Linked DNA regions of Caenorhabditis elegans. The protein of the gene in region 2 interacts with the protein of the main gene of each other region in a pairwise test. Each region holds a gene or a part of one and is shown on either strand. Other genes may lie near its edges.

Region 1 (4,611 bases), 2.9 Mb from region 2:
CCTTAAGCTCTTGCTCAAAGTTGATGTGCTTTTGGAGTTTTCCACGAATGTTGGTAGGATCCAAGTAAGAATCGTCACGAGCGGTGGACAGTTTTTCAGTGATCCAGCTAACCATCTCATCACAGTCACGGTCAAATGTCTGGCGCTTGTAGCTTTCCTTGAGAGCATTTCCACGTTGACGAGCTCTGTCTAGAAGACGACGACGACGGTCAAGAAGAGCTTGGCGTCTCTCGGCAACATCATCAGCAGCGTAATGCTGTCCTTGAATGAGCTTGGTAGCAAACTCGTCAAGTGCATTGATCTTCTCCTCTTGAGCAGCAAGCGATTTCTCAAAGTCCTCGTGTTTCTTGATGAGGTGCTCGACAGAATCTAGTGAATCTCCCAAATCAGTGTTGGCAAGGAACGCTTCCTGCTTGTTCATCCAGGTTTCGGCTTGTTCAGTGTCACGATAGAAGAGTTGGAGATCCATACATTGCTCGTAGAGAATACGACGTTCCTCCCACAATCCAAGAAGAGAAGACTTCTCGTGGTCAAGTTTCTCGAGCTTCTCCTGAACTTCTGGACTCTCTGGAATTCCCATCTCAACGAGCTTTTGTCCAGCGGATGCAGTTTGGTTGAACGAGTCAGCACGAGCATCAATTTCTCCCTTGTGTTCTTGATGACTTTCAAGAAGAGCTTCAGCGCCAGCCACGTCTTTTGCAAGCTCATCAGCTCCGATGACAGCTTTCATGTCTCCAATCCAGCTAATCAAGTCACGGTAGTCGGCCAAGAAACGATGAAGCTGGAAGCTTCTCTCAAGTCCATCTTTGCGGTGTTGAGCCTTCTCCTTGAGTGCATTCCAGGCGGCTTTGGTGTCATCGTTCTTTTGATGAATCGCTTCAGCACGATCTGGATGAGTTTCTGCCAACTTATGAGCTTCTTTCTCCAATTGGAGCATCTTTCCTTCAAGAGCAGCAAGATCACGTTCAGTTCCTTCATGCTTGCGTTGAAGAGCTTGAACATTATTGAGGTCTCTTCCGTAATCATCGCTTGACAAAGCAAGATCCTTCTCTCCAATCCATGCAAGGGTCTCGTCTGCATCGCGATTGAAGCGTTGAACTTGATGAGCTCCAAAGAGCCCTTCCTTACGAGTGGCCGCCAAAGTGTTCAAACGATGCCAAGCATCATTAACGTCATCGCGCTTCTTGTAGATCTGATCGTGCTCAGAGTGTCCCTCCTCGACAAGTTTGTCAGCAGCTTGATTGATCTCATTGATTCGGTACTGATGGTTACCGAGTTCTTTCAAAAAGTCGTCAAATTTACGCTGAAGTATCTCAACGTGTTCGAGATCCATTCCCATGTCTTCTGCGGTGACATAGGTTTCCTTCTCTCGAATCCAGTAGAGAATTTCATCGCATTGACGAATAAAATGCAAAAGTTTAAGTGCTTGTTGTAGCTTAATTCCCTTATCCTTCAGTTTGAAGAAGAGCTTATCCCAGAGGGCGTGCAACTCTTCCAAGCGTTTCTGAAAATAATTAATCATCAGACTGTCAAATGTCTTTAGTGATTTTAAGTACCTTGATGTGTTCGCTAGCGAAATGATTGTGTTGGATCATAGCGTTTCCGGTCTTGTCGAGGTTGGCGATGGTCTTAGCGTGAGCTTGAACCTCAGCTTCGAACGCTTCATGCTTCTGGATCTTGGCCTGAAAATGTTTTATGATTTACATTTGATCATACTTTCATTTTGATGTAAAAAAATTTTCTCTTTCAATTCATGCTTCAAAACTAGTCAACTCTTACTCTCATTTTTTTTTCAACCGCTAAACCTAGCAACAGAAACATAATCGCCTCATCTATCTTCTTACTCGTCAGTATTACTTATCATTCCAGGCATTACAGGAAACCGGCGGATCAAGTCAGGTCACGTCAGTTGCGATTACGCAGTGTCAAGGCCGTGTACGAACGCCCGACTTTTTATAGATTCCCGTCTATTACTATATGTATTCATCTCATCTTTCGATCGGAACGCATGATAAAAAACGGCGGCGAGGATTAATTGGAACCCCCACAGGAATTTATTGGGTTTTCAGTGTGTTTCATTATAAGTAAAGGTGAATGATATTAGGAGCAGTAAAAAATTGTTTCCTCAAAGACTTTTTAACTCCTAATTTCTAGCGCTCATATCTTCCAAAATGACGATATTGTGTAAAAAGATTTCATTTTCATCTTTTCTGCTTCCCAGAAAATAACTAAGTTAGCAAAATTCACATGTACTCCTCTCTACTCGAGCCAATTGTTTATAAATGTAATTGTGCACTACATTGCTTTCAGTTCCTAATCTTCAAGTGAGCATGCATGTTGGGGGTCGCAGATGCGTTTCTCGAAACGAAGGCACAGAGAAAAGCGCTGAAGCGAACCACTCAAATCAATATATTTTTGCTGCTGCGCCTTTGTCGTTGCTCCCAAAAGACATTTGTGTGCCCCCAAACAAGGCAGCAGAAGAAAGGGGTCCGAGTGTCCCCCCGAGGGAAAATGAACCAAGAGAAAAGAATTGTGCGAGTTGTCGTCAAAAAGGATTGAGAATGGAAAGCTGGGGACCAACCACAGAAAATTTATGTTTTAGATAACTTTGAAATAGATGATGAATACGACTGAGAAATAATGAGAAGATGGTACCAACCTGGAGATTGCTCGGATCTCTGAAGTTTTCTTCCTGAGCTGTCTGGAGCTTTTCAAGAATCCAAACGTTCAACTCATCAGCATCTCTTTAACAGAAAAATTAGAATTCTAGACAACCCAACAAAATTTTAGAACTAACCGTTTGAAATATTGAAACTGACGAGCTTCCTCGAGACGATCTCGTTTTGTCTGCGAGTGATCCTTGAAAATTGAATAGTGACCTAATACTTCCTGACGACGTTGGTGAATGTCATCAGCAGTCTCCAGAATACGAATCTCCTGTGGTGGCGGTACTTCTAGCACCGGCTCTGGTGGAGCATGAGTGTCATTCGAATCAGCCATAATCTTATTTCGCTGAAAAACAATTGTTTTAAAACCTCCATAGAAATGAAAATGAAAGAAAGTTGATTATGAAGAGACCGTAACAGAAACAAATGAGCAAATAAATGAGAAGAATGTAACAAAAAAAATCAGAGAGAGCTTTAGAGGATAAATACAACGTGGGAACAAATAATGACGAAGTGCGGAAAAGAATCACCTGGGAGACAAAAAATAATAGAAAATGGGAAAGCTTGTGGCTTTAATTTAATAAGCTTATAAATTCTACGAATGAAAATTTACCAAGAAAGTGTTACTCAAAAAGTATATCATGTCAAAAGTAATTTTAAAAGGTGGTTCCATTTCCAGCCCACACAACTGTCAACATTTTTGAACTGATAACAATATTTCGATGAGTCAGACTAACTCCGACTCCGCCGTTTACAAGCTGTGTTGAAATTGAACACACAGCTGTCAGAAACAGAAGAGACATTACAAAAAAGGGGTTTTGCACAATGCAGCAAATTTTGAAAATGATGAAACAAGAAAGAATATGCTCTCAAAGTGAAAAAAGGAGATGACTTCAACTGGTTCAAGTACAAGAAGAGCTGGCAGCTATCGATCGCCCAAAACGACCCCCGCGTCCACAACACCAACACAAAACCGAATGCAGAGAACGAGAGAGTGTGGCTAGAGAAGCAGAGACAACAAGAGGGGAGACGACTGCAGGCCTGGACGCGCTCGTCCCGCTCAGCCTCGCACACAGCCGCGCTCTGACTGCCCTCACACACACTCACACACACACACACTCACAAAAACGCACTCTTCTATTAAATGCCAGCGATTTCCTCTCAACAGCACACAGTCCCTCACCGAATGCATCATCCTCCATCTCTCCAGTTACTCGCAGTTTGACTCTCTCTCTCTCTCCGGGGTCTCCGCCAACACACACACCACCGACCACACATTTATGTATATATTCGGAGATGGAGTATAAAGTATGTCCTCCAAATATTTGCAAGTTTCACTGATGTGTTGTCAATAAAATTGGGTAATCGATTTGGAACGGAAGAAGTGATGATGAAAGAGAAAGTGACAGAAATTATTAAAACGGGAAGCGGGAAAGCGGGAAGGATAACCGAAAAAACATAACTTCAAAATTTGGAAGTAAAAGTGAGTAAATGAGCAAATTAGAAATTTCTTTGCACAAAAGAATATTCGTTTTAGTTTAAAAACCACGATACAAAACCTCCAAACTCAAATAACTACATCCACTTACGCTAAACAACTGAATGATTTAAAACAATAGGGGACCCCATTCTATCAAATCTAAAAGCATCCACACAAAAAGCCGAAAAAGGGATTCTTCAAGGGCTTTTTTCTTAAGTGACATGGTCAAGCTTTGGTTCATAACAAAAGTGAGCAAACACCGGAAACGGGGAGCCGCGCCAAATCTGTCAAGTGCCGGATGGAGGCCACCTGCGTTCGAAAACTTCCTGCGGACACATGAGTGAAGGACGGCAATGAAGGAGAAGGAAACACAAATGAAAACTATTAGTTCTCTCTCGTTTTCGAGTTCGTCACACTCTGAGAAGAGGCAAAGAAATTCGATACAGCTCGGGGCGACGTTTCGTT
Region 2 (6,517 bases):
CAACGACATCCTCCCCTCATCCGTCCGTTTTGCCCCTCCGCAGCTCTTTATCAATTGCCTTGGCCGCATCATCCGCGACCCACCGTACTAGTTATCTTTCTCTGTTTCCTCCATTCAATTGATAACACTAGAAAATGGCGCGCGTTCAACAAACACAGTGCCATTCTCCATTTCTAGCAAACAGTCCAGGTTTCGAACTGTTTTTTTTCTACATTGTGCAAAATGAGATTGGATTTCTTATCGACAGTGTAATAAAATCTTAGATACCTAGATTTTGTTTCTCATTTTTCTTTTTTTTTTTTCTTTCGGTTTTGTGATTTTCCTTTGGGTTTTTGCAGGTCTAGATTGTAAATATTCCCAAATTAACAGATTATGTAATGAGGATTCTCAAAAAATGTTCAACAATTTTTTATGGCGGTCTGAAATTTTAAAAACACCTAATTTTAATTAAAATTGGCTATTTTTTCATGTCTCAGCTGTTGGAAAATTTATTTTGAAGATTAGAATGTTTTTATTGCATATTGGTGATTTTCTTACATTATTTTGTTAATGAATGTACATTTAAAGCCCATACGTAATTGAAAATGGCCACAATCAACCCCCTATGATTTTTATGAGGTCTCATTATTAAATTTGTTCCTTTATGAACATTTTGAGTGCTTACAAGTAAAAACCCAAAACCGATACCCCTCCTTTAATCGAGAATAGTATTAGACCAAAAGTATCATCATTCACCGTTAGTATGAATGCAAACTTTTCAGCTTTTTTTCGGCTTTCACTTTCTAATTTCCTAAACTAGTTCTCAACATTGTCACTCACTCCGAACCTCGTTTCACAGTTTCTACTCTTTTCGGCTTCACACTTCTAGAACATTATCCGGCTGATTGCCACTTGGATGACAAGCGGGAAACAAGTACGCGAACACACGGTGGTGGGCGATAAAATGAAGTGAAACATGAATGACTCATATCATCACACTTTAAAAAAGATTCCCGTCTCTTCTTTTTCTCCTTTGAAAAATATTCCTTCTTCTTCCTCTGGCCCAGTTTATTCACCATCCATCATCTCCTAAACTTTGAAATCTTTCGTTTTGAAAACCAAAAAGCCATCTATCTTTTTCGGGTCAAACTCACGTCAGACGTTGGTTGCAGATAGGCTCTTTGAAGCAATAATGCAAATGAGAACTCCGAAGAAAAGGTCAAATTCTGGGTCCCACATTTTCCATAACTCCTACCCTGAGATTACTAAAAAAATATAGAAAAGCAATCCAATAGACGACCTCGAAAGGCGAAAGGGCCATGCTTTTTCGGTCCAAGATTACTCATAGCACTGGGTCAATGTCCTCTTTACACCATGTGTTGTGCATCCATTTCCCTGCCCGCTCCTATCAATTTCCTCTTTTGTTAGTCATAGTCCAACAATTTTTTTATAAGGGGGCGGTCAGCAATTTGTTCTTTCTTTTTCTGATTCTTTATTGTGATCGTTTTTCTATGTTTTTTTGACTCAACAAAACATGAATATTGGTTCCAATTTTCCTATTTTTCCAACAGTTTCGATTTCACTTGACAACGAAAATTCCTCCTAATTATTGTTTTCCTTTTTCAGTTTTACATTGCATACTGTATTCCTTCATTCTTTTTTGGTTTGATGCTTGTGTCTTCTTTTTCCAACAGTTTCAATTTTCCAGGCTTGCCAAAATGAAAGCTTTCTCATCGTATGATGAGAAACCACCAGCACCACCAATTCGTTTCAGCAGCTCGGCAACGAGGGAGAATCAGGTAATTAACTCGTCCCTCCACTCCTCCCCAAAGATGGGCGACAATCTTTCGAAGGTTCTTCTTCCAAATCAGATGATGCATGTGTTGCTTGCCCCTCTCCCACCCATCTCTATTTCTCTTTTTTCCATTCTCCATGTCTTGACTAACTCAATTTTTCAGGTCGTCGGATTGAAGCCATTGCCCAAAGAGCCAGAAGCAACCAAGAAAAAGAAGACGATGCCTAACCCGTTCATGAAAAGTAATATATTGCTCTTGTAACCATTCCTGATTTTCCTGTTTTTTTCAGAGAACAAAGACAAAAAGGAAGCGTCAGAAAAACCAGTGATCTCTCGACCGAGCAATTTCGAACACACAATTCATGTCGGATATGACCCAAAAACCGGCGAATTTACGGTCAGTATTTTTTCAAAAAGTTTTTGTAGCAGTTTTCCCACTCTTGCGTTACTTGCAAGATTATTTTCCAATGATGAACGAGTGATACAGCTGTCATTCTGACACCGGTCGCAACCGCTAATCGTACCAGATTAACGTGAATGCTAATAGTAAGCTAAAAACTAAAAACTACTACTTTTACTTTTTCCCTCAGTCAAAAAATCATTATAAACAAATCTCAATTTATAATAATATTTTGCAACCGTTAATTCAGTGCATTATCTTCTAAAAACGTGTTATTCTTGAAACCATGGTTAGTGTTAATAAAGCTTGCGTTTTTGAGACGTTTTAAGAAAACAAATCCATACGAGAAAAATTTAAGTGAAGCCAATTATCACGAACATGTATTCAACCAAAGATAGTTTCTTCTAAAGACCTATGAAATTGTCCCAATTTTTTTAGTATGAAGAGGTCTGTTTTGTCGAATAGACTTGAGAAACTACTGTAGAATCTTATTTATAAACTTTTCTCAGAAACTTTTGCTCCTTATCAACAATATAAATTTTCAGGGAATGCCTGAAGCATGGGCACGTCTTCTCACAGACTCACAGATCTCAAAACAAGAGCAGCAACAGAATCCTCAGGCAGTGTTGGACGCGCTCAAATACTACACACAAGGCGAAAGCAGCGGCCAGAAGTGGTTGCAGTACGATATGAGTAAGTAACCCGTAGTCAGTCTTGCTAATGGAGCTCATTCTTCTACAGTGTTTATAGATGACGCACCTTCTCGGACGCCATCATACGGACTGAAACCGCAACCATATAGCACATCATCCCTGCCGTATCATGGCAATAAAATTCAGGATCCAAGAAAGATGAATCCAATGACAACCAGTACAAGTAGTGCGGGGTATAACAGCAAGCAAGGAGTTCCTCCGACGACGTTTAGTGTAAATGAGAATAGATCGAGTATGCCACCGGTAAGTGGGAAGAATAATCTTGAAGTTCATATTGATTGCTTCAGAGTTATGCACCGCCACCGGTCCCCCATGGTGAAACTCCTGCTGATATTGTTCCTCCCGCTATCCCTGATAGGCCGGCAAGGACGTTGAGTATTGTGAGTAGAATTTTTGGTACTTGTGTATTACATGCCCTTAGTTTTAGAGTATTTTTTTAAGTTAAAAACAATAAAAACGTGTACCACATTTTTTATTTCTAGGTTTAGGAAATAATCTTTCTAAGCCTGGAGAGGAAAAATGTATATCACGTTTAAATTATATGGAGAAATGAATGAAAATTTAATTCAATTTCAAAATGAGGGCATGTAATACACAAGTACCGAATTTTTCCCAAGTTCTCTATAACATATAAGTATATTTTCAGTACACAAAACCGAAAGAGGAGGAAGAAAAAATTCCAGACCTTTCAAAAGGACAATTTGGTGTACAGGCCAGAGGTCAAAAAGCTAAGAAAAAGATGACTGACGCTGAAGTGCTGACTAAGCTCCGTACCATTGTGTCTATCGGAAATCCAGATCGAAAATATAGAAAAGTTGATAAAATCGGCTCAGGTGCATCTGGTTCTGTGTACACCGCTATTGAAATTAGTACCGAAGCGGAGGTGGCTATCAAGCAGATGAACCTGAAGGATCAACCAAAGAAGGAATTGATCATTAATGAGATTTTGGTGATGCGTGAGAATAAGCATGCAAATATTGTAAATTATTTGGATTCGTATTTGGTGTGCGATGAATTATGGGTAGTGATGGAGTATCTTGCCGGTGGATCATTGACTGATGTTGTCACGGAGTGCCAGATGGAGGATGGAATTATTGCAGCTGTTTGCAGAGAAGTTCTTCAAGCGCTTGAATTCCTCCACAGCCGCCACGTCATTCACAGAGATATTAAATCTGACAATATTCTTTTGGGAATGGATGGTTCGGTGAAATTGAGTAAGATTATAATTTTTAATGCTTTTGCAACCTACTTCTGTGAATTTCAGCCGACTTTGGATTCTGTGCTCAGCTCTCGCCGGAGCAAAGAAAACGCACGACAATGGTCGGAACTCCATACTGGGTGAGTGATGGAAATTGAAAAAGCGAATAGGAAATTAATGTTTGACAATTGCAGATGGCGCCGGAAGTGGTGACCCGCAAACAATACGGACCCAAGGTTGATGTGTGGTCCTTGGGAATCATGGCGATTGAGATGGTCGAAGGAGAACCGCCATATTTGAATGAAAATCCACTCAGGGTATGAAATATTTGCTTTTTTGAATTTAAGAAGACAACGCTTGATAATTGAAAAAAAAAACATGAATCTGAATATATGATTCCTTTCAATAACACTTGTGCTCGCAGAGTGTGAATGAGAAATGGAAATTTGTTGTTACAGCGATAAATTTGTTGCTTAATGAATTTCAAAAAAATCTAATTGGCCACTATTCCCTAGTAAGAATAGCAACCCCAGTTTTGCCCATAACGATCAGAAAATAATTTGGTTCAGGTTGAGGTCATGTTATTGAACAGGCGCCTAAGAAAAAATTTAGCAGAAACTTTACATTTTTCCGTAACTTCTCAGCTAACTTTAGCAACCAATCTCAAAAGTTGCAATAGTTGGGTAAAGTTGGTAAAAGTTAGGGATGACCCCCACCGCAAGATACAGATGTGCATTGAGAACTACCGAAAGCTGGGTAAACTTTGTTGAAAAATCGCTTAAGTTGAGAAGATTGAGACGTTGTTGAGAAGTTGCTGTAAAATGACGAGAAAGTTAAAGTTAAAGTTGTTTCAGCTATACTTAGGTTTTATAATTTTAGCTTAAAATTTCTCATCAATCAATATTGATCTTAAAAATATTTTTTTTCAGGCTATCTATCTCATTGCTACAAATGGCAAACCCGACTTCCCTGGAAGAGATTCCATGACTTTGTTGTTCAAGGTAAGAGAACTCGAGAACTTTCGAAACAGAAGATTTGATAAAAAAAATATTTGTTAACAGTTAGTCACAAATGTACAAAAGATGACTCAACTGCTACCGCAGTTTTACTTTACTTTCAGTACAGTATCAATTTCTCCCATTCTGTCCCAATTTCCAGGACTTTGTCGACTCTGCGTTGGAAGTACAAGTTGAAAATCGATGGTCGGCAAGCCAACTCCTTACGCATCCATTCCTCCGATGCGCCAAACCGCTTGCTTCACTGTACTACTTAATCGTTGCGGCGAAGAAGAGCATCGCCGAAGCTAGCAACTCATAATTATGATGATTGTATTCTCAATACACGACGTGTATTTCTTGTTCTTCTCAAATCTCAAGTCGTACTTACTTTGAAACTGTTTTCTTTTCTCTCCATCTCAAGTCATTTCTAACTATCTACTTTGAGCCCAACTTACCGTTTCCCAACAAAAAAGTCACACCTTAGTAATTTGTGTAATGTTTTCTGGAATCGATCACGAGTAAAAATTCAAGCCCCTTCATTATTTCACATCTTCCCCCTCTTTATCTCTTCTCGCAATGCACAATTTGGACTATCTCTTTTTTCTTGTTGTTGAGCGTTCCCAATCAGACGACACACTTCAATTATTTATGTAAGTTTTTTGTCTTCACTTTGTCTTCTTTTCATTCGGTTTCTTGCATTTGTGTCGTTCGAACGGAAATCTACAGTTAACCAGCTTTGCCCAAATTTCCCTATTTCTTTTTCAAGTGTCTGTAGGTGGGAACTATTGAAACTCTGTTTTCATGTGGTTTCCAATTTAAAAATCGGCCATAAGGTCAAAATCTTAAATTTTGTCTCATGACGTTTGAAACAATTGATCATGTTTAATAAAAGAGAGATGAATTTACTTATAGAATCAGAAAAGTTTTCAAAATAGTCAAATTTTGTTCAAGGAAATTGTACTATTTTCTTTTGAAAAATTATTTATTATTATTCCTGACCAGGTACATGGTATAAGGTAGTTTACCTCAAAAATTAGAAATGATAAATAGTTCATTTGAATGATTATGTTTAGACTATATATTTTATTCTAGAAATAGTTATTCTAGTAATTGCAGCAGCACAACTCAACTCCCACCACCACAATTTAGGTATATCTGAACTTTGTTGAGAGCAACTGTGCTAAAGGACACAAAAGTTACTCCAGAGGCTGATAATGTTGTCAGGCTGATTATTGATAATTTTAAAGGTTTTCAAGAACACGCACAACATATTTTAGCAAAACTTAAAAAATCAAGTCACATAACAAGTTGAATATGTGAATAATCCCTGTGAGTATTCTGGAACTATATTTTTCACCATAATAGTGATTGAAAGTTTCAGGAGCTTACAAATGTTTCATAGTGCTATAATGCCACTTTTTTCATATTTCTTAT

What was found. Proteins that work in one complex are often made in the same cells at the same time.
Region 1: the proteins of pak-1 (region 2) and spc-1 interact in a two-hybrid assay, tested with the Caenorhabditis elegans proteins (one large-scale study listed by BioGRID).

Annotation. Positions count from the first base shown.
Region 1 is NC_003284.9:3,124,062-3,128,672, forward strand, and holds the start of spc-1 (Spectrin alpha chain), read right to left. Parts: upstream 3,001-4,611; coding exon 2,798-3,000; intron 2,745-2,797; coding exon 2,660-2,744; intron 1,683-2,659; coding exon 1,557-1,682; intron 1,505-1,556; coding exon 1-1,504.
Region 2 is NC_003284.9:6,043,779-6,050,295, reverse strand, and holds pak-1 (Serine/threonine-protein kinase pak-1), read left to right. Parts: upstream 1-1,691; 5' UTR 1,692-1,697; coding exon 1,698-1,778; intron 1,779-1,937; coding exon 1,938-2,016; intron 2,017-2,064; coding exon 2,065-2,171; intron 2,172-2,719; coding exon 2,720-2,867; intron 2,868-2,915; coding exon 2,916-3,130; intron 3,131-3,174; coding exon 3,175-3,267; exon of another isoform or gene 3,268-3,416; intron 3,417-3,533; coding exon 3,534-4,101; intron 4,102-4,151; coding exon 4,152-4,225; intron 4,226-4,279; coding exon 4,280-4,402; intron 4,403-5,014; coding exon 5,015-5,086; intron 5,087-5,243; coding exon 5,244-5,402; 3' UTR 5,403-5,987; downstream 5,988-6,517. UniProt on the Caenorhabditis elegans protein: Required for hypodermal cell fusion, together with cdc-42 and ced-10, leading to embryonic body elongation, which involves dramatic cytoskeletal reorganization.